Bombyx mori: one gene and its partners. The protein of the gene in region 3 interacts with the protein of the main gene of each other region in a biochemical or structural test. Links are inferred from orthologs where the notes say so. Each region holds a gene or a part of one and is shown on either strand. Other genes may lie near its edges. The genes, in order: replication factor C subunit 1, 26S proteasome regulatory subunit 6A-B, polyubiquitin-A, kelch-like ECH-associated protein 1B, SUMO-activating enzyme subunit 2, cullin-2 and E3 ubiquitin-protein ligase ariadne-1.

What was found.
Region 1: the proteins of polyubiquitin-A (region 3) and replication factor C subunit 1 form a complex in vitro, tested with the Homo sapiens proteins (2 studies listed by BioGRID). The link is inferred for Bombyx mori from reciprocal best matches to the Homo sapiens genes UBC and RFC1.
Region 2: the proteins of polyubiquitin-A (region 3) and 26S proteasome regulatory subunit 6A-B form a complex in vitro, tested with the Homo sapiens proteins (2 studies listed by BioGRID). The link is inferred for Bombyx mori from reciprocal best matches to the Homo sapiens genes UBC and PSMC3.
Region 4: the proteins of polyubiquitin-A (region 3) and kelch-like ECH-associated protein 1B form a complex in vitro, tested with the Homo sapiens proteins (2 studies listed by BioGRID). The link is inferred for Bombyx mori from reciprocal best matches to the Homo sapiens genes UBC and KEAP1.
Region 5: the proteins of polyubiquitin-A (region 3) and SUMO-activating enzyme subunit 2 form a complex in vitro, tested with the Homo sapiens proteins (2 studies listed by BioGRID). The link is inferred for Bombyx mori from reciprocal best matches to the Homo sapiens genes UBC and UBA2.
Region 6: the proteins of polyubiquitin-A (region 3) and cullin-2 form a complex in vitro, tested with the Homo sapiens proteins (2 studies listed by BioGRID, with this or other methods). The link is inferred for Bombyx mori from reciprocal best matches to the Homo sapiens genes UBC and CUL2.
Region 7: the proteins of polyubiquitin-A (region 3) and E3 ubiquitin-protein ligase ariadne-1 form a complex in vitro, tested with the Homo sapiens proteins (3 studies listed by BioGRID, with this or other methods). The link is inferred for Bombyx mori from reciprocal best matches to the Homo sapiens genes UBC and ARIH1.

What each region holds. Positions count from the first base shown.
Region 1 is NC_085121.1:15,066,453-15,070,610, reverse strand, and holds part of replication factor C subunit 1, read left to right. Parts: intron 1-144; coding exon 145-228; intron 229-884; coding exon 885-1,033; intron 1,034-1,327; coding exon 1,328-1,522; intron 1,523-2,766; coding exon 2,767-2,918; intron 2,919-3,315; coding exon 3,316-3,424; intron 3,425-3,661; coding exon 3,662-3,807; intron 3,808-4,158. UniProt on the Homo sapiens protein: Subunit of the replication factor C (RFC) complex which acts during elongation of primed DNA templates by DNA polymerases delta and epsilon, and is necessary for ATP-dependent loading of proliferating cell nuclear antigen (PCNA) onto primed DNA.
Region 2 is NC_085131.1:1,840,859-1,845,629, reverse strand, and holds 26S proteasome regulatory subunit 6A-B, read right to left. Parts: upstream 3,043-4,771; 5' UTR 2,995-3,042; coding exon 2,347-2,994; intron 2,026-2,346; coding exon 1,830-2,025; intron 1,733-1,829; coding exon 1,536-1,732; intron 1,085-1,535; coding exon 954-1,084; intron 393-953; coding exon 185-392; 3' UTR 139-184; downstream 1-138. Other genes in the region: succinate dehydrogenase [ubiquinone] cytochrome b small subunit, mitochondrial, read left to right, coding at 3,692-3,722.
Region 3 is NC_085127.1:9,713,253-9,717,220, forward strand, and holds the start of polyubiquitin-A, read right to left. Parts: upstream 2,801-3,968; 5' UTR 2,670-2,800; intron 2,411-2,669; 5' UTR 2,403-2,410; coding exon 1-2,402.
Region 4 is NC_085128.1:13,269,656-13,273,813, reverse strand, and holds part of kelch-like ECH-associated protein 1B, read left to right. Parts: intron 1-1,746; coding exon 1,747-1,860; intron 1,861-4,158. UniProt on the Homo sapiens protein: Substrate-specific adapter of a BCR (BTB-CUL3-RBX1) E3 ubiquitin ligase complex that regulates the response to oxidative stress by targeting NFE2L2/NRF2 for ubiquitination.
Region 5 is NC_085117.1:15,263,648-15,268,271, forward strand, and holds the start of SUMO-activating enzyme subunit 2, read right to left. Parts: upstream 3,232-4,624; 5' UTR 2,994-3,231; coding exon 2,850-2,993; intron 2,781-2,849; coding exon 2,626-2,780; intron 2,072-2,625; coding exon 1,924-2,071; intron 1,628-1,923; coding exon 1,133-1,627; intron 670-1,132; coding exon 498-669; intron 1-497. UniProt on the Homo sapiens protein: The heterodimer acts as an E1 ligase for SUMO1, SUMO2, SUMO3, and probably SUMO4. It mediates ATP-dependent activation of SUMO proteins followed by formation of a thioester bond between a SUMO protein and a conserved active site cysteine residue on UBA2/SAE2.
Region 6 is NC_085129.1:21,457,159-21,461,316, forward strand, and holds part of cullin-2, read right to left. Parts: intron 2,486-4,158; 5' UTR 2,466-2,485; coding exon 2,403-2,465; intron 2,055-2,402; coding exon 1,930-2,054; intron 1,831-1,929; coding exon 1,735-1,830; intron 1,461-1,734; coding exon 1,367-1,460; intron 1,293-1,366; coding exon 1,218-1,292; intron 1,109-1,217; coding exon 947-1,108; intron 802-946; coding exon 648-801; intron 1-647.
Region 7 is NC_085127.1:9,583,653-9,587,810, forward strand, and holds part of E3 ubiquitin-protein ligase ariadne-1, read right to left. Parts: intron 3,540-4,158; coding exon 3,343-3,539; intron 2,572-3,342; coding exon 2,382-2,571; intron 1,160-2,381; coding exon 933-1,159; intron 535-932; coding exon 457-534; coding exon of another isoform or gene 453-456; exon of another isoform or gene 1-452. UniProt on the Homo sapiens protein: E3 ubiquitin-protein ligase, which catalyzes ubiquitination of target proteins together with ubiquitin-conjugating enzyme E2 UBE2L3.

The DNA of each region.
Region 1 (4,158 bases), on a different chromosome or scaffold from region 3:
AAATAAAAGTTATTATTTAAGTCAACGATATTTGGTATCCGAATTGTTATTGTTAGCTCTTATATCGTTTCGCTTATGTTTGCGGTACTATAATGATAGAGAAAACCCTAGTTTGTTTCCAATCTGGAAAATCTATTTTTTTAGGCGACACGAGCAAGCAGGCCGTCTCCAAGAAACACGTTTTGGTAATGGACGAAGTCGACGGCATGGCGGGAAATGAGGATAGAGGTAAATTGGAAATATCTATATATTAATACGTGAAGCAAAAACTTTGTACCCCTTTTTACGAAAATTGCGCGGACGGAGTAGTATGAAATTTCCCACACTTATAGAGAATATAGAGAAGGAGTGCAGAACGTTAATATTTTTTTTAAATTATGCATTAAAAAATCAATAAAGAAAACATTACACACACTACATACCATGTATTTGACACACACATACACTCTGTTTATTGTCGAACTTTTGTTATTGCATAAAGTCTGTAGTCAAAATGAGAATAGGTTAATATTCTTTATCTTTAATATTACGAGTATTTGTCTATAGTGTAGTCTTGGCGAAATCTGTGACTATAGAAATATAATATAATATCCAAACTTATAATTTTAATTAATTATAGTCGAATTTCGACTACTGCGGGAACACTAGTTTATAAAAAAAACATCTGGACTACGAACTAAATTTAATGGCTGAAAGACAATAGAAAATCGGATGAATGACAAAATAAAACGACACGGTCTTTCTCTATTTAAACTAAAATACTTAAAATAGTTTTGTGAACAATTACGAATTTTACCTCTAATTATGTATTTTTAGTATGGTCGAAATTACAGCTGTTCTTTGTTTAATCTTTCGGAGTTATAAAACGTAAATTTCATTTTCAGGCGGCCTGCAAGAGTTGATAAATCTGATAAAATCAACATCAGTGCCAGTGATATGTATGTGTAACGACAGAAACAGTACGAAGATGAGGTCCCTGGTCAACTACTGCTATGATTTGAGGTTCAACAGACCAAGAGTGGATCAGATCAGGGTAATTAACTTATGGTTTTAAAAGAACGAAAAGAGACAAATAACATTAACATTCAGTATAAAATATATAAAACAGAATTAGGAAAAAAAAACAATTATCATTAAGCACATGGTAATCAAACTTGTCTCAAAATTAACCTGAACCCTTTAGCCTCCTTTGTCGGTTCGACAGCCTATACAGGTAAAGGAAACGATTCCCATACAGCCAAATCGTTTGTCAAAAAAATCAAAATCACGTCTATTGTATATTATTATTATTTTTGTCTTACCTCAGATTTAAATCTGATTTTTTCAGGCCGCGATGATGTCGATATGTTTCAAAGAAGGAATCAAAGTGGCCCCGGACGTGTTGACGCAGCTGATCGTCGCTTCTAACCAAGACGTGCGGCAGACCCTCAACTTACTCTCGATGTGGGCTGTCGACGAGGCGTTGGCCAGTGTGGACAAGTTAAAAAGAGACGCAAACACCACGAAGAAGGATGTCAAATTGGTAAAATTGGAATTAGTAGTTTTCTAGCTTAATTCTTGTTTACGGCGATATGTGGACGAGGCTAGTGGCGGGCGCGGTCACGTATTATTTGAAATTATAAAAGCGAGCACGCTGGTCAATGACGTTCGTGACCTTTTCAAGTGAGTAGTTGTGTCGTGTGTGCCCACGGCGCACTGGCAGTGAATTCCACCCGATCCATTTACGGTGCTTTTAGGTACCACAAGCACCGGTCACTGTCCTCGTCGAACCCGAACTATGCACTAGAAACAGTGAAGTTCTCGTAATGTTTAGTAGAATAATATATCTATAGCTTTAATATTTATCTATAGCTTTCATTTGATATAGTTGTTAAAAAAAATTTTTCATATAGAATTTTATACGAAAATGTTTTTACTCGTTAATTCAAAATAGAGTTTTTGCATATGGCAATTTTTGTTTTGACAGCGACGATATTTACTATTCAAATCATGGAAAACTTTATTTATGATGTTAAGAACTGTTTTCCGCTTTTACCTGAACAGTATTTATGTTCAATTGAGGCAGATATTAGATTAAAAGTTCACAATAACCACTTTCTAGTGTGAACAACTATATACAGTCAAACCTGGATAAGCGAGAGTTCAAGGGAGCACAATCTCATTCTCGCTTATAGAGGTTTCTCACTAACCCGAGTTTTTCGCTAATGCTCCCTCTGAATTTCATTTCGCGATTTTCCGGATTCAAACGCATTCACTATTTTAAGTTTATCACTTAATGACAGTACTTAATTTTCCGTTTTTACATGATGCAGAACAGAACTTTCCTTTGCAATTGATTAACGATAAACTGAGGTAAGTCCGACAAATAGGACGGTACACAGGCACACGTGTCCATTTGAAAAGAATGCGATAAAATAACAACGTTATTTAGTTCCAAAGTTAAGAAGGAGTCATAAAATAGCAGATGTTAAAGTTGTAATTTGTTCCTCCTAAATAATATAAATAAATAAAGCTCGACTGTCGCAGAGGTATTGATAAGTAGCAGGCTCACTTACGGAGGTCCATGAAGGAAAATCGACTCTCTCTTACACAGGTTTCTGTTTCTCGCTAATAGAGGTTTTGGGACCTTAAAATGACGGGTCCTGGCTATTACTCTCACTTAGAGTTTTCTCACTTATCCAGGTTTGACTGTACATGTGTTTTGCTGCCAAAATAATACTACATAATATTATAAATGATTTCCATCTCTGATTGTCTATCTACTAGGGTCCATGGGAGGCAGTAAGGAAAGTGTTCTCCGCAGAAGAACACAAGACTATGAGCATTCACGATAAAAGCGATTTGTTCTTTTACGACTACAACCTCGCTCCTCTGTTCGTGCAGGAGAATTACTTGCAAGTTGCACCACACTGTCCCAAGTGAGTATAGACTGTTTTTCCTTTGCTCTCAATTGTAGAAGAGTGTACAATCCTCTCCCTGTCGCTTCTTAGGACTTCTTGTGAGTTTACTGGCGGTAGAACCTCTTGTGAGTCCGCACGGGTAGGTAGGTACCACCGCCCTGCCTATTTCTGCCGTGAAGCAGTAATGCGTTTCGGTTTGAAGGGTGGGGCAACCGTTGTAAAAATATACTTGAGACCTTAGAACTTATGTCTCAGGGTGGATGGCGCATTTACGTTGTGGATGTCTACGGGCTCCAGTAACCACTTAACACCAGGTGGGCTGTGAGCTCGTCCATCCAAATAAGCAATAAGAAAAAAAAAAGTTTTTTAAAAATGATATATAGAATTAATTTAATTTAATAATTTCATTTGGCAGACACGAGGTTCTAGAGAGATTTAGTAAAGCGGCCGACAGTATCAGTATAGGCGACATGGTTTCTGCGAGAATCAGAGGCAGCCAGGCGTGGAGTCTTCTGCCTATTCAGGTATATAAACCGATAAAGTTTTTATTTATAGATGTACAAACGAATGTTCATCACTCACTTAGTTAAAGCAGTTACTTAAACATTGACCTTTTTTTTATTAATTAATTTTAATTTTATTGATAAGGTAGGATTTAAGGTAATCGAAATGAAAAAAAAAACATTAATTTGTTCCCAGTATGTTATTTATGATAAAATCTCTTTAATCCCGACGTGTCTAATATCGAGAACATTCCGCAGGCCATGTACAGCTCGGTGCTCCCGGGACACGCGGTGTCGGGTCACGTGGTCGGCCAAATCCAGTTCCCGGGCTGGCTCGGGAAGAACTCTCGCGCCAACAAAATGCACCGGCTCGCCCAGGAGATACACGCTCACACAAGACTCAGGTATGCCCTGCGGTCGTGTTCAACAATGTCCACTTATTTGGTTCAATCATGTCTCCTGACAATAAAGAACTACCATTGTCCTTAACATTGACAATGGCTAATAGTCTGCCAGCCGTGAGATTCTTTGATACGTCTTTTCATAACGTCACTGTTAAGCACATTTAACATTACTCTCGTGTAATCTCACTAAGTTATGAGTTTGCAATTGGACGGAACTTATTTGCTGACTTATTTCTTATGAGCAAATAAACATTGGTTTCAGTTTGAATACCGGAAGGATACAATCTTTGTTAAAGATTATTTGAGATTCGGTGTCTCTGTGCATGAACTTGACCTCACCTTGACCCTGAC
Region 2 (4,771 bases), on a different chromosome or scaffold from region 3:
AAGACATTACCATAACATCATTGCATATTACTGTGTTTTCAGTATCATGATCGGTTTCTAGCAACGCATTTGTTGCCAACGTCGAGTTTGCTATTTGAAAATATTGCGATAAATATTACAATATCCATAAAAAAACAATTTGAAGTAAATTTTTATTTATACAAATTATTTATATTTAATACAACTAAGCATAATAGCTAAGGTTGGCCTTTTTCTTAGCCTGGACCTCCAGTATGGCGTCCATAAAGTCTTCGTGAGTGACGGCAGTTGCTGAACGTCGCAGCGCTATCATACCAGCTTCGACGCAGACCGCCTTGCACTGGGCGCCATTGAAATCATCAGTCGAACGCGACAGTTCTTCGAAATTAACGTCTGGACTTACATTCATTTTACTGAAATCAGAAATGTTAATATGAACCTGCACTATTTACGTACCAGTTACACTGTCGATTTTCATTACATGTTTTTAGTATCGTTATCTATGTTGCCGAGTAGTTTGCAGATTCTGACTCTTTATTTTAAATCTGTTTTTTTAATGTTACTTTTTGTAATTTTGTATAAAGTAAAAACTCCTCGCCTCTAATTCGCGCTGTAAGTTCACGTTAATAGTAACCCAAACACAAATCGATTTGAGCATTGACAAAAACGTCAGTACTGAATTGTTGCATTTATACTGTGAATGTAAGCCTGAATCTTGCATTTGCGTCGAGGTAAACGGCCACAATCATGTTTTGATATCTGGATTCTAATAATTAAGTGGGCCATGATCTTGTTTGACTATGTTCACCAAAAAATTAATTAATATATTACAAAGCATAGCTTGAATTCGTAAGCACATTCAATTCATGTTCTTATTTTTTCTGTTTTATAAATAAGTTATAATTGATAAAAAAACATTTGACATTAATTCAGATTTGTTCTTTTATATTTTTTTCTTATCATAAATTCATTACCGGGAATGGATCTGCATAATTCTGGCTCGGGCTTCTTCATTGGGATGAGGAAATTCGATTTTTCGGTCCAAACGTCCAGATCTGAGCAGGGCAGGGTCCAAAATGTCCACTCTATTGGTAGCTGCAATGACCTGTGAGGAGAATGGAGGTATTATAAATGAAATGAATGGAGATCTTATAAATGAAAACAGTTTAATGTAATCATCATAAGCACCAGGTTTATTTTTTCGCTGCAGAGACAGATGGGATGATGGGAAGTACCCATATGTCATCAGGGAATTCCTAGTTGTAAAAAGAGTATGCTGGTAGACATACTGTTCTCTGCAATTCGAGAATCCTAACTGTGCATCTTTACCATTTTTAACCAACTTAAAAAAAGGAGGAGGTTCTTAATTCGACTGTATGTTATTGTTAATGTTTGTTACCTCATAACTTTTGAATGGGTGCATCAATTTTGATGATTCTTTTTTTATTAGAAATCTGACGCTTCCCGTGTGGTCCCCATTTCAATTTAGTCCAGTTCTGATAACGGTACTTAAATGACTTAGGTGTTGTACTAGTATATTATATAATTATGGTTACCTTGATGTCAGCAGTTGAGCTAAACCCATCAAGCTGGTTTAACAACTCCAACATAGTACGCTGCACCTCACGGTCTCCAGCCTTTTCTGAATCAAAACGCTTTGTACCAATAGCGTCCAGTTCATCAATGAAGATGATTGCTGGTGCCTTCTCTTTAGCCAATGCAAAGGCGTCGCGGACAAGCTTGGCACCATCACCTGAGGGTATGAGAGAGATATCATAAAATATGTCATACTCAGCATATTGGAGTGACAACAAAAAATAAATCTTTATTTTTTTTAATATATGTCATACCAATGAACATCTGCACAAGTTGTGGACCAGCCAGCTTCAAAAATGTAGACTTTGTTTGAGCAGCGCAAGCTCTCGCCAGCAATGTCTTCCCTGTACCAGGAGGTCCATATAAAAGAACTCCTTTGGGTGGGTGGATGCCGAGATTCACAAATTTCTCCTTGTGTGTCATTGGCAACACTACAGCTTCAATTAATTCCTAAATAAAAAAATAATTCAATTTCAATTACTTTATAATTTTTGATTATTTAAGGTCATACATAACCCTAAAATTGTTTTCAATATTAAAATGAGCTTGTACAATGTTTACAAGAATCATTATTTATGATTTGATTCAGAAAAACAAGCCCTTGATATTCAAAAAAAACAAATAAGTATTTGAGTGTCCTATAAAGGCACTGTTCCTAAGCCAAGCAATACTTGTTTTGTAAAAGTTTTGTAAAATTTTAAAATCGTCAGACTTAAAATAAGCAGCATAACCATTAATAAATTTAAAATTAAATAAATCTGAGTTTCTTACCTGTATCTGTTTATCCAGACCTCCAATATCTGAGTATTGTTCAGTTGGTCTCTCATCTACCTCCATTGCCTTTACTCTGGCGTCATACTCCGCTGGGAGCGTTTCTAAGATCAAATAAGAGTCTTTGTTGACTCCTACCAAGTCTCCTGGTTTGAGTTTCTCTGCATCTACCAAGCCGATGACGGGCAAGAAATATGTTTGCCGGGTTGAAGTCTTGATTACAGCGCATTTCCCTTTACGCTGTGAGTCTAGATCGACAACGGCGCCGTCTTCTTCCTCCTCTTGCGGATCCACATCTAAAAGTTCAATGACGTTCGATACGAGATATGGTAGCGTCTTATTGACCTTGATTTTCTCCGTGTTTTCTTTAATTTTATCGTTTTGAGCCTGCAGCTCGTGCGAGATCCTCATCACTTCGCTCTTCATTATTTTGATTTCATTGTCCAAAAGTCGGGTTCGACTTACGATTTCATCAGTTGGCATGCGAAGAACTTCCTCACTGAGAGCTTCCTCGCCATCCTCCCAAATTGACTTGTCTTCTAATGTTGTGGCCATTGTAATATTATGATTTGTTTTTTCGTAGTAATCTTTTAAATTAAGAAGTTCTTGAACCCATACACATTTGACGACTCTAAAATGAATTGTCATTCCATTTTGATGTGACCAGCCTGATGTATTTTTTTTTCATTGTTTACGACATTGGTTACTCAACTTTCTAGTCGATCTGACCTTAGTTAAAATGTTCAGCTCTGTAATTATCAAAATTCACTTGTTTATCTAGCATAATTCTATTATTGTAATATATGTATGAACAAGCTAAGGACCTACTGGGTAAAAATAAATATCACAACATGTACATATTCATTACATGCAGTATACACTAACCACGCTAAGATATATATACAGTGAGAATCATAATCCTTTAATTTAACGACTATCAGAAAGACCTCTAATTGTACGGGAGTACCTTATCATGTTTTACCATCAGTATTTATGTAATTTGAAACAGGAATTAGACGATCTTGGTCTTTATAATTAAGTCTTCCTAGGTAGTTATTTCCTTAAAAAACATTATATCTGCCTCCGTAATTTGAACATTAGCGTAGGCAAATCGCTCAAAACGAGTACACCGGTAACTTATCCCTGTGTGCTACAACTTCATGTTACCTATAACCGTAAACAATTGACAATTAACATTTGACATTTTGAATTATTTTGAATCTGACGTTTTGACTTATTCCAATTTTGGTTGGGTTTGGTGATTTCGTTCTGTTGGACTTTAAAGTAATATTTATATTTTATTATTATAAAAAAGTTTTAGTAATATATCACACGATAAATAACCATGGCGTTCTCCATGTTTCTTCGTACATCAGGTAACAGATTAATTAATATTGCGCTCACATTATCATTACATAATAGGAATCTGAATCGTTTTTTTTTCGACGCCTGTAGATTTTCCACATGAACATTAAAATACTATGATAAGACCGGTTTACTGTTGGAGTTCTTTAATCGCCCCAAGAGAAAAAAACACGTTTTGTATTTCGTATCTAATCTTAATGTTATTGTTTACATTTTACGTTTCATTTTAAGGTTGTGTTGGTGATTTTTAACTAAATTTAAAATATTTGAAAAGGAGTTATATTTTCTTCAAGTTTGTGATATAATTTAATATACAACAGAAGATAAAAAAAAAAAAAACTATTTTCAATGAATAGTAAAAATATATTAAACTACAAGCTAAAAAGCGTAATATTATTCATTTATTGTTATTGTTGGACGGTTAAATTTCAGGGGATTGGGTTCTGTAGGTGATGAGGGGCTTATTTAAAAACACAACTGCTTCATTATAATTATATTGCAGATAGCTTGAACACTTTTACACCATAATACAATTATTATCTTTATATTTTATATAAAACTATTACATGTTTTTCATGCCGTGTCTAGATGAGAAGTTCTGACATTTTCTTACGAGAATACAATGATCTGTTTTTTTAAACATTTTAAAATATTTCTAATATTCGAAATCTAATCAAGTGTCAAGTGTTGCCTGCCATTACATTTAATATACAAACTCCAACAGTTATCCAAATTTTGAGATGTTTTAAGTAGGTTTTTAAATTAAAAGAAAAATTTTCAAAATACTACCAAAACCCTGAGGAAGGGAAGATTCATGAGTTTGAAGTATTATCATAGATAAGAGTGTTTCACTTTTGTAAACCTGATCAATCAAAAATAATCACCTTTATATTTATTTACTCTACCAGCAGTCAGTACTTTGTATGACTCTAGCATAGAATAAAGTACTGTTAAACAAGTCTTAGCCTCATAATATATGCCACTATATGAGATCAAAATGTGTAAAATTAAATATAATGGAAAAAAAAAACATTTGCCAAGTACATAATCATAATTATCA
Region 3 (3,968 bases):
TGCTGATCTGGGGGAATTCCCTCTTTATCCTGAATCTTGGCTTTCACATTCTCAATGGTGTCAGATGCTTCAACTTCTAGCGTGATGGTTTTACCGGTAAGTGTTTTCACAAAGATTTGCATGCCACCTCTGAGACGTAATACCAAATGCAGAGTAGATTCTTTCTGGATGTTGTAGTCAGATAGTGTACGACCATCTTCAAGCTGTTTGCCCGCAAAGATCAATCGCTGCTGATCTGGGGGAATTCCCTCTTTATCCTGAATCTTGGCTTTCACATTCTCAATGGTGTCAGATGCTTCAACTTCTAGTGTGATGGTTTTACCGGTAAGTGTTTTCACAAAGATCTGCATGCCACCACGCAGTCTCAAAACCAAATGCAGAGTAGATTCTTTCTGGATGTTGTAGTCAGATAATGTACGACCATCTTCAAGCTGTTTGCCCGCAAAAATCAATCGCTGCTGATCTGGGGGAATTCCCTCTTTGTCCTGAATCTTGGCTTTCACATTTTCGATGGTGTCAGATGCTTCAACTTCCAATGTGATGGTTTTACCGGTAAGTGTTTTCACAAAAATCTGCATTCCACCTCTGAGACGTAGCACCAAATGCAGAGTAGATTCTTTCTGGATGTTGTAGTCAGATAATGTACGACCATCTTCAAGCTGTTTGCCCGCAAAAATCAATCGCTGCTGATCTGGGGGAATTCCCTCTTTGTCCTGAATCTTGGCTTTCACATTTTCTATGGTGTCAGATGCTTCAACTTCTAGTGTGATGGTTTTACCGGTAAGTGTTTTCACAAAGATTTGCATGCCACCACGCAGTCTCAAAACCAAATGCAGAGTAGATTCTTTCTGGATGTTGTAGTCAGATAATGTACGACCATCTTCAAGCTGTTTGCCAGCAAAAATCAATCGCTGCTGATCTGGGGGAATTCCCTCTTTGTCCTGAATCTTGGCTTTCACATTTTCGATGGTGTCAGATGCTTCAACTTCCAATGTGATGGTTTTACCGGTAAGTGTTTTCACAAAAATCTGCATTCCACCTCTGAGACGTAACACCAAATGCAGAGTAGATTCTTTCTGGATGTTGTAGTCAGATAATGTACGGCCATCTTCAAGCTGTTTGCCCGCAAAAATCAATCGCTGCTGATCTGGGGGAATTCCCTCTTTGTCCTGAATCTTTGCTTTCACATTTTCAATGGTGTCAGATGCTTCAACTTCTAGTGTGATGGTTTTACCGGTAAGTGTTTTCACAAAGATTTGCATGCCACCTCTGAGACGTAACACCAAATGCAGAGTAGATTCTTTCTGGATGTTGTAGTCAGATAATGTACGACCATCTTCAAGCTGTTTGCCAGCAAAAATCAATCGCTGCTGATCTGGGGGAATTCCCTCTTTGTCCTGAATCTTGGCTTTCACATTTTCGATGGTGTCAGATGCTTCAACTTCCAATGTGATGGTTTTACCGGTAAGTGTTTTCACAAAGATCTGCATGCCACCTCTGAGACGTAATACCAAATGCAGAGTAGATTCTTTCTGGATGTTGTAGTCAGATAGTGTACGACCATCTTCAAGCTGTTTGCCCGCAAAGATCAATCGCTGCTGATCTGGGGGAATTCCCTCTTTGTCCTGAATCTTGGCTTTCACATTTTCGATGGTGTCAGATGCTTCAACTTCTAGTGTGATGGTTTTACCGGTAAGTGTTTTCACAAAGATCTGCATGCCACCACGCAGTCTCAAAACCAAGTGCAGAGTAGATTCTTTCTGGATGTTGTAGTCGGATAGTGTACGGCCATCTTCAAGCTGTTTGCCCGCAAAGATCAACCGCTGCTGATCCGGAGGAATTCCCTCTTTGTCCTGAATCTTTGCTTTCACATTCTCAATGGTGTCAGATGCTTCAACTTCTAGTGTGATGGTTTTACCGGTAAGTGTTTTCACAAAGATCTGCATGCCACCTCTGAGACGTAACACCAAATGCAGAGTAGATTCTTTCTGGATGTTGTAGTCAGATAATGTACGGCCATCTTCAAGCTGTTTGCCCGCAAAGATCAATCGCTGCTGATCTGGGGGAATTCCCTCTTTGTCCTGAATCTTGGCTTTCACATTCTCAATGGTGTCAGATGCTTCAACTTCTAGTGTGATGGTTTTACCGGTAAGTGTTTTCACAAAGATCTGCATTCCACCTCTCAGACGTAATACCAAATGGAGAGTAGATTCTTTTTGAATATTGTAATCGGATAATGTCCGTCCGTCTTCAAGTTGTTTCCCAGCGAAAATCAGTCGCTGCTGATCTGGAGGAATGCCCTCTTTGTCTTGAATTTTTGCTTTTACATTTTCTATGGTGTCGGATGCTTCGACTTCTAATGTTATGGTTTTACCAGTGAGAGTTTTTACAAAAATCTGCATGGTGGTTTCTAGAACAAAGAAGGAACTTTAATGAAGATTGACGGATGAATTCCCTATTTCGGAGTATTAAATGGATTGACGAACAAAACAAAAGAACAAAGACTTTTAGTCATCACAAAATGGCGACGATCATAAATTACATCGTCATTGTTTCAGATTTTTTTGTGTGTACAAATGACAAACTTGATTTTCAAACTTTTCTTGTTGACAATAATTATTTCATGCAGTAGAGTTGTGATATTTTTGAAAAATTGAAATATTTCCTACCTTTTTGGAATTCACAAAAATTATTAAAATTATCACAAATTGTAGGACACGTCGTGCAACTAGGTAGCTCTTTCACGAATGAATGAAATTCAACTTGACTCTTGAAAGCAGAATAAAGAATTTTATGACCTGGTAACTAAGACTTTTAGGTCAAGTCTTATTTTAATTATAATGAAAACTTTTTATATGAAAAAAGATATTATGAAATGAAATAAAGTTGATTAATATGAAACATGGTGTGAAATGAAATGAAATGAATGAAATGAGATGAGACGAGACGAGACGAGATGAGTTGAGTTAATTTAATGAATAATATAATAAATTAAAAATTCCATGTATTCCCTTCAGGCTTGTATTTTAGGATTATTCTCGATCACTATTTTAGGAAGTCGTTGCCTGAAAGAAATCACTCTGAGCAATATGGCGGAATGTTGCTATACGTATTCAAACAGTTTTTAAGCTTTGACGATTGTTTTATGTTTTGAAAAATATCTATCATAAATTAATATGTACTTTAGGACACATAAATTTATTTTCACTTAAGAAGTAATAGTAAAACTTATGCAAAGGCTTAAACAAGTTTTTATCTCTAATATATCGATTAGCCCACCAAAAGGCTTGGTGAAAACGTACAGCTGATATGTGCGAGTGCGGTGAAAATTCAATCAGCTTGTAGGAGTTGTAAATGAGAATAATAGAAAAGTTAGAGCTAGAAGAACAGCTGGTTGCCGGCGATACTCATTTTTTTATTACTTATTTATTTATTGTTAGCATAGAAGTAGAAAGACAGTCTTAATTTGCATCTGTGCTTGAATTAGGTGATGAAACCTGTATCTCAAGCAGCAGTGCTCCTCGTTCGGAGTGGGGAGCAGAAGATGGTGAATTGCTGAACGAAATGATGGCAGAGCTTTGAACGATTACATTTTGTTCACCTATAGGGCGTTGATTGTAGCAGCAGTTCATCAGAATAAATAAGCTAGGCAAGAATACTTTCGAATTAACACATAAAAAATGCTAGAGTTTTTTCAAACACTTTTAATCTTAAGTATTTGTGGTTTTTTTTCGTAATAGATACAATAGCCAATGGCCCATATGACGGTAAGTACTGATCGATGCTCATGGACACTGGCAATGCTATACTCCTTTCAAACCTTGATTGAACAAGAAGATTTCATAGAGCTCAGGAAACACCCTTGAGAGGTGTTCATTTTAAAACCGGTTTGTATGATCAGTGAAAATAACAATTTGAAGTAGTAAGGATTCGAAGGGGAATATCGATAATCCGAAAATTCATCAACA
Region 4 (4,158 bases), on a different chromosome or scaffold from region 3:
ATTTTCTGTGGACATAGTCTTTTCGGTGGACATCGGGACCACAGGAAAGATGTCCACAGAAAAGATGTATCATAAAAACTCTTGCGTAAAGAAATTAACTTTAAGGTTAGAAATCAAGCAACATGCTTTTCATTTACTTGTACTAAATGCTCATATAAAAACAATAAATATACATTTTTATAGATAATATTTACATGTCTATAATTGGAACAGGAAAGAACACTTGATCTTTTACGTTTATGTGTGTTTTGGAATAAAAAACATATTTTCACTCGCACTGGAATCGAAACAACAAAATATCAAACGCCGGAATGGCCACTATTTAGTGATGCCAACAGTTAAAAAAAAAAACTTAATGCGGTCGAATAAATTAAAATTTGATGTCGTTTTATCGCGTCCACAGAAAAGACTCCATTTCATGTAACCATATGTTTATTGGATTTATTGTATACAGATAGTAACGATATATTTTTGTTATTCTCAATATTATCATCTTTATTATATTGTTTGTGTTACAAGTAAATAATTTTAATATATAGGGTACTTTAAGTATTTTTAAACATGGCTCAAACATTATACCTTCGTCTTGTAACAGTCCACAGGAAGAGATTTTTTGATGTTTAACGCCATCAAAATGAATTTATGAAATGTAATATTTTACAAGATACGATTAAAATGAGTAGTAATATAGTACCTTTACGATTTAAATACTTTAAAATATTCGCCAATTTGCTCTTTTAGATGATACATTGCTATAACACTTTTTTTACCCTTTTTGTGTATGACCCATATACATCTTTAACGATTACATTATCTACTGCACTCATATTGCACTTCATTATTATTTATTCTTCAGTTTTTATCTTTTAATAAACCTGTAAATACGAGCCAAATCGTTTCATTGAAGAGAACAACAAGACATCCAGCACGGAACCATCCATTAATTAAATATATTAATATATTTTGCTAGTTTTTTGCAATATAATGTCTTTTTTAAGAAGATTTAATGTGAATTGTTTAAAATATAAATATATTTTACCTATGGCAACTCCTTCAATATTATCAATGTAGCTTAATCATCCTAATTTCTTTTTATTTATGATTTTAATTATCCCACCATTAAAATACCCTTAAATTTTATAATAAGTATGTAAAAATGAAATGTTTTTTCTATAGATATTTCATTCGTGTCCTTGAGAGCACGAGCAGCTGGGCCGTAAATGGCCTATGTCCTTTATACAACAACAATGTACGGTTTGCACTTTCAACCGCTTCAAATTCGTAATTCTTAAAAATAAAAAAGGATAGTTTATACAGAAAATAATGCAGCCAATGTCACTCTCCGCTGCGATTTGCTAACGACTGTTAAGCAATAATCACGAGGATTGGTTGTTCCGTTGCTGCGTGAAGCAAGAACGAAGCAATACACACACTTTCGAAGCCCCTTTTTTAAACAATAAATGGTTTCTCTTAGATTTTGTAGTCGTTTATATACATATTTTATTACTTAGGTGGGTGGACGAGCTCACAGCCCACCTGGTGTTAAGTGGTCACTGGAGCCCATATACATCTACAACGTAAATGCGCCACCCGCCATGAGATATAAGTTCTAAGGTCTCAGTATAGTTACAACGGCTGCCCCACCCTTCAAACTGTGCGGACTCGCAAGAGGCCCCACCACAAGTCCTCACAAGTTAATAAAGTCAAGACCAAACGAATATTAATACTAAATGTTCTTGTCAACAGATGATGTTTACAATGAGATCACACCAAATGCTGACTGATGTCGTGTTGGAAGTTGGAAACGAACTCTTTCACGTCCACAAAGTTGTATTAGCGGCGGGCAGTCCTTATTTTAAGGTAAATACCATACACACCAACAAACATACACACCCACACAAACACAATCTTAAAAACACGCAACAACTTGACTTTGGTTGGTTCGTTTGTTCGACCTCGCGTTTTAAGACGGCATTCTCTTTGTGACATTTTGGTAAGAACACTATACAGCCCCTCAATCCTTTAGTACAGTAAAAAACTAAATGAAAACTAAAAGTGAAGAAATAAAAACATGCCTCCAAGGTTCTGTATATCCAGTGCATCAATTGAAAAACGTTTCTATCTTATAATAAATAAACAAATACCTAATTTAAGGTAATCGGATACCGAATGGATTATAATTTATTAAACTGTCCAGTGACGTCAGTAGTCAAATCAACATGGCGGCTAGTTTTGGCGCGAAAATTAAAAATGTTAAATTATATTGCCTATTTGGGGGACATATTGAACTTATAAAAAATAAATAAATAATATGGTGTCTCATTCTTATTGCCAAAGGAACAAATAATTAGAAATATCTATGTAGTTGCTAAATAAACAAACATTATTTAAAATTTAAATCATGTTTGAATACCCTATTTCAAAGAGAATGTAGTCACTACCTAAGTTATAGCCTGCTTTACTGAGTGAGCACACAAATAGATGCTCAAATAATATTAGTAATAATAATATTTTTACAAAACAGGAAAAACACTATTTAAAATTATTTTAAATTAATAATAATAGATAATAAAAGCGATCATAAATTATTTGAATTATTGTTTTGCCTACTAGAAACAAAAACCTAAGTTTGTGGTCGAAAAATAATAATCTCGCACACTCACACGTTTTCCACGTAACGTGCAATGCTTTCTTCAATATTTAATATTACTTAATACTTACTATTTGTGATTTTTGCCTATTTGTATTTTGATTAACCGCGAACCTTAGTATTTCGTGCTTTTTTTTTTGCACCTGATCTCTAAAAATAACTTTCATTATTAATGCTCATTAGGAAAGGTTTTTTTCCTATATTAATAAATGGAAAAGTTTCAAATGAGCTAAAAATTTCATGGCATTTTACAATCGATCCGTCCCAATTGTCCATTGATCCAATACACTTCGCGGCTGACTGAAATCGAAGATAATAAGACTATAAATAAACATCTTGCTGTAATATGTGTTTAATATACATATGTTTAACTTGACTTTGTAGTATTTCCATCGTTTTTTGCGAGTCGTGGATATAATTTACTGCTTAATATAAACTTACTTTTCACCGACGATTTTTTTCCTACCTATTCGCTGGTAGCCTAGAGGCTATTCCAGCAACGCCCTGACGAGTATACGTGAGCTCACGTGCTCAACCTGAGAGAATTTGCTAACATTCTAACGAGAGCAGTGCTTTGTAGAATCTACCACCCGATCGGAATCGCCACCGGTACTTGAGAGACCTGAAAACACCGAGAGTAAATTCGGGGGATCCGACAAGACATATTTCGGGCGACGGCGCCCTTGCGTTGCCCCGTCGCAGTCGGATAAAATAATTCGTGTCGCCTCGCTTTCTCGAAGTAGCGTTCTGACGCGTCCTTAAGATGCTTACTTAACGGTACTAGATTTAGGTCGTCGTGAAGATCTACATTCCTCATATACCATGGTGCTCCGACAGCTATCCTGCAGAAACGGGATTAGATGACCTGAAAAGAGTTTAAAGTGTACGGGCCACGTGAGCGAACACTACACTTGCATAGGTCATGACAGAACGTATGCAAGTTTTGTAGAGTGTCATCTTGTTATGAAGGGATACTTCGCTTCGATTTCCTTTTAATTTTAAACATTAACGTTCATTGTCGTTTCTGCACTATCCGTGCTACATCCTGCTATCCGATACTCACTTCCCCGATGTTAGTCCTTAACTAAATTTGAATTAACGATGTCTATTTAGTGTACCCGGGTTTGGGCGATCCCCGGTCTTACTCAATATCTTGAATAATACTGACGTTTGGCGCTCATGATCTAATTCTTGTTTAAAAATAGTAGAATAACGAAACTCCAAAAACAATCAAATTACTAGCTGAAATGAATCATACAGTTACAGTGATTAACAAACTTGTTTTTATACTGTATCATGAATTTGTAAATGATTTAGAGACTCAAGAAATATCCAACAGAATTAATCGGGTTCTTAGAATTACGGAAAAAAACTGCTACTCGTCTCAGAATGACTATGCATATTTATTTATTTTAAAAACCTAAATATAACAAATAAAATGAAAAACCTAGTCAAAAAACACAGATATTGTATATACCTAATATTTTTTGCAATTATCAGGTGACTTT
Region 5 (4,624 bases), on a different chromosome or scaffold from region 3:
GCAAGTGAGACACTCAAATTAGGATGTTCCTGACGTTCAAATTCAGAACGAAAATGAAGTGCCTGATTTACCAGTAATAGCTGATATAAAAGAGTGGATCCAAAGTCCATGGACACTCGATAATTAAGTTTTTTATCTTTAATTAATATAATTAATCGTTTATTATTTTCTAACTAGTCGTTTGTTTTTTCGGTTTTATGAAATGTTGGACTTTATGTTGATTTTATTAGATTATTATTTAATAAAAATAAGTAAAAAATGAAAATAGCTGTTTTCTCTCGATTATTTTTAAATACATACATAAATTTAAAAAATGTGTGACGTCACATCAGGAGGGGGGGTTATAAAAATGTGACAACCTGTGACAAGGAGGGGGGGAGGGGTTCAAAAGTCCTAAAATTCGTGTGACGTACTTTATGGATGGCCCCTAAGGTGATTTTAAAAGGTTTGTATAACATTAACAGAGCATGCCCTTTGGAGTAGAATAATAAACTTACATTTGATTTCGAATCGTGATTTTAGTGGTATATTAAAGATATGTGCGCGTATGTTAGCACAGGCAGTTACAAAATCCATGGCACTTTTTTCATCTTTGTCCCATACAAGATGGTCGTCACCCGGACGCGATTTCAAATCTGTCTGTAGAGCCTTGCAGCTTGCTGCAAATACCTGGTGAATTTTATTTAAAATTATTATATAAGAGGTGAAGGAATAATTCAGAACTTTTGTGAGTATTCAGTTTCTTTTTCTAGTTTGTACATTACTTTGCATGTAACAAGTACAGAAAAAATACTTTTCTAGTATAACAGTGCAGATAATATTTAAAAAGCCTGTTTCTGTTGAGGAATATTATTATTTCTTCATATTTTAGTTTATTACTTTTTGTATTGCATTCTATTTTTATTGTTATCAATACATTGATACAAAGTATTGACAGGTATATTGATTATAGTCGAATTTTGATCAACTAGACTCTGGAACACTAAATAATAGAGCCACTACTTAATCCAATTATTGTAGTGTGGCACACTATAAGCTTTTCAAAGAAGTGGGTGCTTGCTTTATTCTAAACCTTTTAATTAGTTTAGATAAATTTATTGAAATAGTCCTATTGAAGGTCATAAAAACTCACTTGTGCACATTCATATACTGTCCAAACTCTTTGGTCTGGCAACCCTGAATGTTGAATTTTTGGAGCATCTTTTCCAGGTAGATTTTCCCATGACAGTGGAGTGGGAGGCCGACGTTTCTTCCACAAATTCTCCATAGATAGTAAGTAACGGATATCATCACCAAATAATTTTGTGAATAACTTTTCTGGTTCATAATTAGTTTCTGCTGCCCAGGCTCTGGTACTTTTTCTTTCAACATTACCGGCAGTAGTACTTTCATTAGACAACGCTGATTGTCCAGCATCACCTGCAGCCTCAGGGTCAGCTGTATCAGGACTCACATCTTGATCAGGGTCTTCTTCTCCAAACAATTGGTTGAAGAGGTGTTTTGCCCATACAATGCAGTGAATAGGTTCTGAAGGTGTATTACGAATTGTGCAACCTGGGAATGATTTCTGTGGTGCTTTAGGCTGGCATTCATAACATTGAGTCAGACCTTTCTTGATGAGCTCCACCTGTAAGATAAAGTAAGCATATGGGTGTTGGTTCACAAAGTCGATAGTGCTCTGAGTACTTTACCAACCCATTATGAAATCTAAAATTTATTTATAATCAATTTTTGGGTACTTATATAATTAATAATAAAACATACTCTATGCCTTTAGTACTGCTGCAAAAATAAATTCATATACAAGAAAATGTCTCCAAAATATTTTTCTAGACACAATTACCAAACAGTTTAATGATAATTAAATTAATGTCATTAATAATCCTACTTAATGATTTCCTTTATTTTTAAATTACATCTCACCTGACCAGCATATCCTGCTGTACCTGTCTCTATAAGAGGTACATCAGCAGCAAGACACAATCTATTAACATGGTTACGGGCAACACGATTGTCCAGTGCATTCATCACAATGTTGAACTGTTTGAAGTATTTTACACCATAGTCATTGCTGCAATCAAATACAAACAAGTTGTATTAGTTTATGTTCTCTATTCACTTATCTTTTTCACATTTAGGATCTGAATTTTTAAGGTATTGTAGTGAAAAGTACAGAAACAGAACCCTTACAGTTGTCTTGTATAACAGATAAATTGTATTTCATTACACTTTACTAAGTGGTTGTTATGAAATTAGTATGTGTGCATATTAATAGTGCTGGGCAGCTTTAGGAGATAATTACTGATTCTAGAAAACAAAATTGTAAATTATTCAAAACATTGGAAACAACAAATTACAACGAATACAAATACAAGATGAGCTGTAAAAATTTATCCTTCGGTAGATCTTAAAATTATAATGTTTCTAGTACTTTTTAGTTAATGGTTGGTGAATTTAGAGTTCTGCTTCTAAAATCACATTCACTATATATCTCTTAATTGGAATGTATGAAACATAACTTTTATTCAACTTTGCAAATGAACAGTTTTGAAGCAGAAACATCCTAATATTTTCAACATGAAATCATTTAAAGAATGTTTGTTTATAACATGTAAGGTAACATACCTGATTACACTGTCATGGTGAGCTACGATTGTTACGTTAGGGTTGAAACTAAGGGCGCTATCCTTTGCAACTTGAGCCTTTGATTTCCCAACATGCTCTTTGTGAAAAAGAAACTGACGATTCAAGTTGCTTACGTCGATAGTATCAAGGTCGATCTAAAAGCAAACATTGCGTCAGAAACAAACCTTTTATTATTAAAAACATAAAAATTGCTCAGTACACACAATTTCAATATATGGGAAGCCGGTTAGCACGAGATTTTTAAGGATCTCACAACCAATGCCGCCGGCGCCCACTACCAGCAATTTAGAATTTGCAATAGCTTCTGTCAATTTCTCATCGAAAACGCCAGCGACCCTCGCGACCATTTTGATTTATACTTCGACAGATCGAATAACGAAATTATGTGCAAAATTTGTTAAAGTTTTCAACACAAACTCAACGAGGATACATAAATGACCTGTCAAATCACTGGCTTATGTTCTTTTTTTTAAATAATTTATTGGCTTGGAATTTAGTCTTTTAAGCCAAACAGGAATTTCAAGGTTCACTCCGTTGCAATCCATATCGTAGTGTGACTTTGTTGTCAGCTAATAATATTACAAACAACTCTATTGACAAATAAACTTTTCATAACGTAAGAATTTAGTTAATGAGTTTGGAAAGTTAAGCATCGCCCAATTAAACCGTTATGAAAAATCCGAACGGGAGATGTTACTTAATGTATATTAATAATATGAGATTTTGACGAGCATCTCGACTGAGAATTTTCAATTTATTCATTTATTTTTGTTTATGAGAAGAATATCTCACAAAATAAAGAATGTCATCTAAAACATTCTTGCTAAAGAGTGCTTGTTACTCTTTAAACCATTTGTATACTCGTAGTATTAGGCAAATCGAATCTGCATCAATAGTAACATTGTACAATCTATTATTATAGTATAGCTTAAGAGAATAATCTTGGGTCAAATAAAGTTTGATTTTTGCTTAAGGGCCTATAAAATCCGTCATAAAAAGTTTCGTAAAATGTGTGGTATTTATTATTATTTACATGTTTACCATAGACCTATCGACAGAAAATTTTATTCGAATAATAACGACGAATTGCGATGAATGTCACGTTTCCTTTTCCCCTCCCCCTTCTTTCTGTCTATCTGAGCCTGTTACAGTAAGTAATAACTGTTACAGTAATACGCCCTATTCGGTTGTACGTTTAAGATATTCTGGATAAGATTAGTCAAAGCACCTGCATGGTGTGGGTATGGAAATGGAGAATGAAGGTAGAATGTCTTATACAGAAATCAACCAGGCTCAATAAGTGACTGAAGCGCTGCTATAATAGAATCTAATTTATCCTGAATGAAAATAAGTTTATAATAAAACATGACGCTTTCTGTTAAGGTTCAGTTTTACGACCCATTGAATTTTTATGCCGACGGCTTTAAATGACATCGAATCCTATGTAGTAAGCTAATGTGTCATGTAACACATATTTGCTTTAGAGAAAAACCCAGGATGCATTTGTTAAATGCAGCATTAAAGTTTATTATTTATTAGAGATCTATATTGTGACGGCTTCTTTGCTTCTATTTGAAGAACTAGGTAGATGAACCTCACGAGATTTACGCATACTTTGTGTTATGATTGGTAGTTCGTAAAAGCTTAGGGATCTCAGAGTTCAATGAAACTGCTTTTATTTAATTAACGGTTCCAAAAATTAAAGGAAATGTATGAAAGGATCATGCCAACCATGAACTGATTTTTGTGAACGGCTTAATGATGGTATCTGGAGGGCGATTCCTTCGTGTCACTCGACAGTAATGATACAATATTCTCAATTGCATTACATTGCGTGCTGTGTAAGAAGCAATATTTGCTTTAAGCATTGCAGTTTTTAAATGTTGTTGTATTTGACTATCACTTTGAATTTACTTATGTACCTACTACGTGATAAATAGCAGTTAAAGGTACAGTACGGATTTATATAAATATGTCA
Region 6 (4,158 bases), on a different chromosome or scaffold from region 3:
GTACTGTACTGCACACCCACTGTACTGTACTGCACACCCACTGTACTCTACTGCACACCCACTGTACTGTACTGTACTGTACTGCACACCCACTGTACTGTACTGCACACCCACTGTACTCTACTGCACACCCACTGTACTGTACTGTACTGTACTGCACACCCACTGTACTGTACTGCACACCCACTGTACTCTACTGCACTGTACTGCCACTGTGTGGTACTGCACAACCATTGTACTGTACTGTGCTGCCTGCAGGATGATTGGTGACGTGGTGGAAGTTGCGGTTTCTAATTATAATATTTTTGAAGTAACGAATAAAAGGATTAAGATAGATTTATATTTACATATACAAGTAACAAGGAACAGAATTAGAGGATCGCCCCGGAATCAGGGGCGCAGAAAATTAACAATTTAATATTGTAAAGTCGTACTTCACTTCTTACCTGTAATTACTACACACCTATTGTCTGCAATTACACTACTACGCTAAATTAACTTATATATGTATGTACTTCTAAATAATAATATTACTCTAAAGAATTACTATTCATTATTAAAACTTGCAGAGGTCAGTGACTCGGCGTCGTCGCTCGCGCGGTAGAGTCAGTACATAGAGCAGAGATGTGAGTACATTTTGTATGTACCTGCGAGAACGTGCTTCATGTAATGTGCGACGTCCCCCTCCTGCAGTAAGTGGGCCGCCGTCCTGGCGTGCTGCTCGCCGGCCGCCTGGAGGAACGGCTCCAGCACGAGCTGCTCGTACAGCGCGAGTGGAGACCGGACGCGAAAACTGCGGACCTGCATTCATTCAAGTTTTTTTTTAAACTATTTTATAATAATTTGTTGTTTAATTTTTCAGCTACATATTTTATCAACTGCACTGCACGCGACTGTACCGAGGCGGAGTGCTGGTGGAGTGCTGGTGGGGTGGCGGTGTACATACGTGCACGGTGCTCTGTATGGCTTGTCGGATGATGTCGGCGTGGCGCGGGTCGGGCGGCGCGTCCCGGGCGGCGTGCAGCGCGCTGACGATGCGCGCCGTGAGGGCGGCGGACAGCGGCCGCACCAGCACGCGCTCCCAGATGTCCAGGCCCAGCTCGCCCACCTGCAACAGGCGAGTCCGTCTCTGTACCCGGCGCGTCCCGGCGCGGTCCCGGCGCGTCCCGGCGCGGACCCGGCGCGGCCCCGGCGAGTCCCGGCGCGGCCCCACTCACCTCCAGTTGTCGCGCGTCTTGCTCGGGACAGCTCACCGTGGCCGACGTGCCGTATATGATCTCCGCGTCGGAGACCTGCGCACACAAACGTTACGATGCGAGTGCGTCCCCAGCGGGAGGCACGGAGCCTCGCGGCCGCGTCCACGTACCTTCTGTCGCTTGACGTGCTGCAGGTTGAGGTAGGAGTAGAGGCTGTTGAGGTAGGCCACGCCCTGGCTGTACTCGCGCCACGCCGACACGTACCTGCGCACAACCGCACACATTACAATATATACAACCAGTGAGACTATGAACGCGAACGTTAACGTCGTGATGTCCGCGGGCTCCGGTAACTACTCCGCACCGGGTGGACGGGAAGCGTTAACCCGTCTATATTCAACGGTTACAATGAAAGCAAACAATGCAGTTGAGTTTTCGAAGTGAGAGAGCAGTCAAGAAATCATGTGTCCCTGAGACTGTTGATTTAAAGTGAATGTATGCGCTATACATGCATGTCCGTCTGCGTGTGGCCCCTTACCTGTCCAGTAGTCCATCGTTGTGGTCGGACTGCTCGAGGGTGGTGGAGCCTCGAACTCTCTCCAGCAGACTTGCCACGTGCTCCTCTAAGAAGTTCCTACAAACGTAACAAGCGAGCACAACATTAGATCGACCAGACGCAGTCCTCGTTGGTTAGGACGAGCACACAGCGACACAGCGAGTAGCGGGTAGGTACCTGGTCTCGTCGTAGAGCCGGTCCGCCAGGGGCTCGGGGTGAGCGACGCACAGCGCGTACACGTCAGAGAAGCGGGTGTTCCACACGATGCGGTCCACGGCCTTCAGCCCCACCACCCCCGCAACCTGGCGCACACAAACACATGTAGAGCGGGCGGCACGGTAGTGGGGCGTCGCGTCTCTCGGCGGAATGGCGCGACTATCTGAATGCTATTGTATGCGCGAGTCAGTTTTCTGTGACTTGTTCTATTCGGGTATCAGAAAGAAATATGACTCTGAGCTCGCATCACACACGGGGTGCAAGAGAACCATTCCTCAACTCGAAGACGGACAGCAACGTGACTGCGGTCTCTCCCGAGTGCGGCCTTAGGGCGTCACCTGGGTACGGTTATCGACCCCAAGTTTAATACGCTCTGTAAGGGGATCCCTTGTACCTCGTATGTTGTGAATGAACAGGTTGCGTTGACGACTCACGGTCTCTTTGAGGTTGGCCCATGTCTCCTGGAAGTCCACGTGCCTCGGCTTTAGCGACATCATCACGAACTATTTACACATACCTGGAAAACACGTAACCATACAATTATTTAAGGCCAGTAAACGAGTAGGTGGAGTGGAGGTCACAGGTGATGGGGGTGTGCCTCGTGAATATCTTACCCTACAAATATGAACACTTAATTGTATAGTAAGTGGTTCCCAGCGACTACCCCACCCCTTCGAAAACCACATAATATTATATGTAAAATATACTCGCAAATTAACCAATAAATAAAGTTAAATAGATAAAGTCATAGGCTCAAGCTAAGCTTTAAATTTGAGACAAAAATGTAGTTGAGGAAACAAGACTAGATTTTGAAATGTATGTATATGATGATCTATAATTAGTTTAAAGATACCTGTTAATTATTTTATATATTTATAAAGTAATATTTGAAAAACACAGAGTTATAAAACAATAAAAAGTTTGCTTTAGAATATCAATGTTCCTTTTTTTTTCCTTTTCTTGTTTTAGGAATTAACATTTGTGATATTTCATTGGTACTATACTATACTATACTATTTCAAATATATTTTCCAGAAATCAATTATAATAAAAATAAACATTACACAGCATTTATTGGTTTTGCAGACAATTCGATGCCCCTTTGTGTGTAGCGCCCGGGGCATGATATCCTGGTATTGACATTCCTCAGTCGGTTGTGAGTCAGGTGGTCATGTAGCAGTATGACCATGATATTTACTGATTAAATGTTTGTTTGCTAATATTAACTAGGTTTTTCAACAATTCCAAACCAAATTCAATTAAAATTCTTCTTATTATTGTATGAATTCAAAATGAGTTTTTGTATTGAGTTCATGGAGACAAATATTTTAATACTAAATGAATATAGCATTTTTATTCTAACTAATCTTTGTTTCTGCTTCAACATCATTATCCTAGAACAATTGAGACCTCAATCACAAAGGTCAAGTTGTAACGATTGCAACATGCTTTCTTCAACTTTCAATCAGGTTTCCGATCGGGACACAGCACGGTGTCTGCGTTGCTGAAAGTGACAGATGACATTCGATGGGCAATTGAAAACCAATCCCTAACCATTCTTGTACTACTTGACTTCAGTAACGCATTCAACTGCGTGGATCTCGATATCCTGCTCGGTATTCTTCGATCCCATAACATTACTACTTCTTTTTTTTTTTTTTTTTTTCCGGGCCGAGGGCCGAACCTCCTACGAGGTCCCCGCGCCTAGGGGGCGCGCGGGGTATGTGAGACTCAACGATCTGCAGGTGTTGAGAGCAGACCGCGGGCCCAAGGAATTTAAGGCCCACCCACTAAACGACTCCCCTGCACTCTTACACCCGGCGTCCGATCTCCGTCCGGGGTCAAAACCCGGTCAGAGTAGGGGGGTTCCCGCGGTCAACACTACAACCAGACACGCGGCGCCACCCCGAGGACGCCCGACCGACGGGTCGTCGAGGCGATAGTCGACGACCAACGACGTCAGTCTCCGCGGTACGGCGGCCCTTCAGGCCGCCCGGGCGATGCCGCTGGTGTTCCGGGATACCCCGCTGGGCCAGAACCAGCCTGCCGGGTCGGAACGCGATACACCGCCGACCGGGTTGCTCTTCCACAGTATGTTCGGCGACGACAGCGACGACGAAAATGCGGACCGCATCGCAGTCCGCAGCCGCCGACGCATCGTCCCGTCCTCCTGGTGCCAGCGCGCTAGAG
Region 7 (4,158 bases), about 130 kb from region 3:
TGTCGCAGCTTTCATGAAACGATTAGATGAAAATTGTAGAACTTGTGTTCTTTTTATTAAAAAAAAAAAATAAGATTCTTTTGAAATACGTGCATTAGCGAGCAATTACGTCACACGTTATCGAAAATTTAACAAATTTCAACGACACTATTTTGTGTCCGTACAACGCACGCGAGTTTGCGTGAAGACTGATTTACAAAAAGAACTCTCTTCAAAGATATAAATCTCTTCATAAGCTTCTTCGTAAACTCTCTTCGACACTAGCAGTGCTAGTCGTGGGAACAAACATTACAAGTTCTGCTTCTCGAAGCGCCAAAATCTTTAAACTATCATCCGATTGATACTCGTTTCTGAATAATTCAAGACGAGAAGCTCTCTTGTGTAAATCAGCCTTAAGTGCAAACGGGTGCAGGATAGCGACCCGCGACACAGTTTATAGAGAGGCAATGTGTTTACTCTGTGTAGTCCCAGCAGTCCTTCTCGTATCCCTCGTGCACGTGCTCTAATAACACTTTTCGCCGACTGTCACAGTATCTGTAACAAGTTTATTGAAACATTTTGTACAATTCGTAATAAATATTGACAGTGTAAGCACATCTTATTTTCACCAAAATCGTTTTATTACATTCACGAATCCCTCATAATTTTCAAAAGTTGAATTAATATAAATGTCGATAAATTTTAAAAACGTACTGTTTAAATATTACTGCTTTAAGGTAAGATGTGTCGCTATTTGTGCGTTGTGCCTTAACTATCCCCATATCTATGAGCGGCAGTGATCAATATCAATTAAGTGAACCACAAACTCGTCTACCACGGTTAGTATTTTTAAAAGATAACGTGCATATGCCACCCTGCCACAAATAACTACAAGGGCTCGTATAATCCGTAGAAATTCAGATCGTCTAAAGAATATTAAATTAAACACTTACCTGTATTTATCTTGAACCTTCTGCTTGATGTCGGCAAGGTTCTCGCTAGTGATGTCCCGCTCCAAGTACTCCGAGAGCGTTTCGGTCGCCGACTCCAAGTCGCGTTGGTTGTCCTCGAATATGACCGACTGGTTGTTCTTGCGCAAGTAATACGCGAACACGTACGTGTACATCAGCGTTTGTCGGCACTGGCAGAGAATATCTACAGCTTTCTTGAGGAATTGGACCTGTGAAACGAGGGGCGTTTGTAAGTAACTGTATGCGCTACTGAATGTGGCGTACGCAACTTGAGATTTAGATAGGAAGAAATCACTGATAGTCAAAGAATATGCGTTTATTATATAGTTGGCTAACAAGTAACTAATTCTATCTATGTATGTTGATGTGGTGAGTACCGCTGTATATGAGTGCTGAACGTGTACTGGCGCTTTATACTACGGTTTGAGTAAAGCAACGTAAAAGTGCTGATGTGAATGCGCGCGTGCCCTTTACGATACATGACTCGTACAGTAACTTTAAATATAACAAACTATTTTTAGTAATCGTTTTTCAAATAGTGTCAGTGCAAAGCATTGAAATGTTATTATGTATGTGTTAATAGTTGGTCTGCCCCATCGGAAGTTATAGTGATAAAACCATAACTATCTAAATCCATTACTATTGTCTCCTCCATCTGTCCTAGTAGTCGGGTCCGCATTTTTTTTTAACTTAATCTTGTCACCATTCTTAGCGATTACTCAACCCAATACCTAAAATGCTAGACGGTTCATGGAGCCAGCGGCCCTTCGTCAAACTATAAACCCAATATGAGTACAACTCGGAGTACAGACTTCGCGAGATTATGACAAGAAAATCAGTATTGTAGGATTGGTAAGAACGGAACGTATGTAAAGAGTGTGGAACGGAGCGTTAAGATGTGAGTGAGAGAAAACGGAAAGAAAGGGAGAAGAGAATGACAGACAGAATGACAGAAAATTAGAAAATGGCGAAGACGGTTGAAAAATGAGCAAAACGTAATACAAGTGTTAATTATTAATTATTGGAACGAAGTTCCTTATCGCGCGTTGTGAAAGGGGGCTAGACGGAAAAAATTCTTACGAAAAGTTGTCACGACACTTTTTAGATCCGTCATTCTGACCAATCAACGTGTAGGCGCTTATCGCGTGACATTGCTCGTATCCGATTGGTCCGCGTAATGAGTACAGTTTCTCGAGATAGCGTTTCAACAATAGTAATTTAGTTCATAGTATTGTTTTTTTCTTCTTCATAATGCCGTAATTTATTATTATAACTTAAAAAAAAAAACAATTCCTTCACTAATTAATCGAATGGAACTTCGTTCCATCCGGGTGTCCCTTGACACCTCTGAAGTTTTTTATTATAACAGAAGAATTTGGAACAGTGGAAGTTTTATTTTATGCGCTGCGATCCCTATTCTACAGTATTAACCTCAATCCAGCTCATGTTGTGTTGCTGCATCTCCTCCATCTTCTCTTTAACCGAGGCGTAGAGTTTGGACTCGAAGCGCAGCGACTGCATGTGGTTCATGTACCGGTTGCAGTAGAACAGATAGCGCTGCAGCGCTGCGCGGGATCGCTCCTGTGCGTCCCGGGCTGCTTTCGCTTCGTCCTCGTCGTATCTGTCATTAAGTCACGTGTAATAAGGATAGAAGTTTAAGATTATTTTTAAAGAAGTTTAAGGTCTCAAGTATAGTTACAACGACTGCCCCACCCTTCAAACCGAAACGCATTATTGCTTCACGGCAGAAATAGACAGGGCGGTGGTACCCACCCGCACGGACTCACAAAGAGGTCCTACCACCAGAAAAAGATCTCGGCAACATTAAAATTTTTGAAGCCTGTTTAGAAAGTACTACTTGGAAGTAGTATTTGCCTAAAGGTGAAACGCCTGATGTACTCGTTTCTTAACCGTTCTAACGAGACTTTTAATATCAAGTAGAGAATTTCTCAAATAATATCTTATATATAAAATTCTCGTGTCAGAATGTTAGTTACCATACTCCTCTGAAACAGTTTGACCAATTTTTATGAAATTTTATATGCATGTTCAGTAGGTCTGAGAATCGGCTACAGTTTATTTTCCCACCCTACAGTGATAAGGGCTATCCACCCCTAGCATTATTTTTTGGACAATTTTTATTTTTTTGTTATAATGAGGTATTATGTGGTTGAATGAGGTTTTGTTATTTTTATACTCCCTAATTATTCACAGCGCTACTTGCCTCTTTCACTCATTTATCACATCCTTACACACTTACAATAAGTTTTTTTTTTCTACACTAGAAATTCCCTAGAAATCTTATATATGGCAAAACAACGTTTGCCGGATCAGCTAGTTTTTTTTAATAAAAATATAGACAATTGTTAAACAATGTATTAAGACATCATACCTGTTACAGCTGTACCAGCTGCTGCCGTGGGGCTCCCAAGGTCCAAGACACACCCAGCAGAAGTCGGCCTTGCAATTCTGATTCTTGCACACCATGTGGTTGCAGCCGCCGTCCTTCTCGATGGTGACGTTGCATTTAGGACACTCCTTCGTGTTAGCCGCTATCCAATTTGAGGTCTCCGAATCGTCGTCGCATTTCTATAAATAAATTCTCTCTGTATTTTATTATATACTTTTTTTTTATAGTTACCTAATATTAACACATTCTTTTGTCTTTATAGTTGATCTAGTTTTAAACATTTTGAAATTAAATGTTTCAAAACCTAAAAAAAATACGTTTAAATAACAAAAAAATATAGATTTTTTCAAAATCCTGGTGATCAGTCTTTAAGCTAAAATAACAAAACTACTTTATTGTTATCGGTTCTTGACATGTGTGCAAATTTTCAAGTTAATCACTCGTTTTGAAGTTGGCAAAAATTACGTAGAAAAGTTCCGTTGACACATACAATAGATAGATAAACGCAGGCGAAGCCAATAAATTTATCTTTATCATTTTTTTTTATTTACCTTTTAGTAGGCAGACGAGCATACATACACCTGATGATGGTGGTGGTAACCGTCGCCCATGGACTTCAGCAATGCCAAACCAGGCCGGTGCCCACCGCTTAATACTCTCCACAAGTCTCAAACAATTCCTCAGAGCACCAATACCGTCTTTACCATAAGGGCACACGGGGCCCGTGCCCAGGGCCCCCATTCTCAGGGGGCCCCGAAAGACCGAAAATTAATCTCACACGCTTATTCTCAAAACATT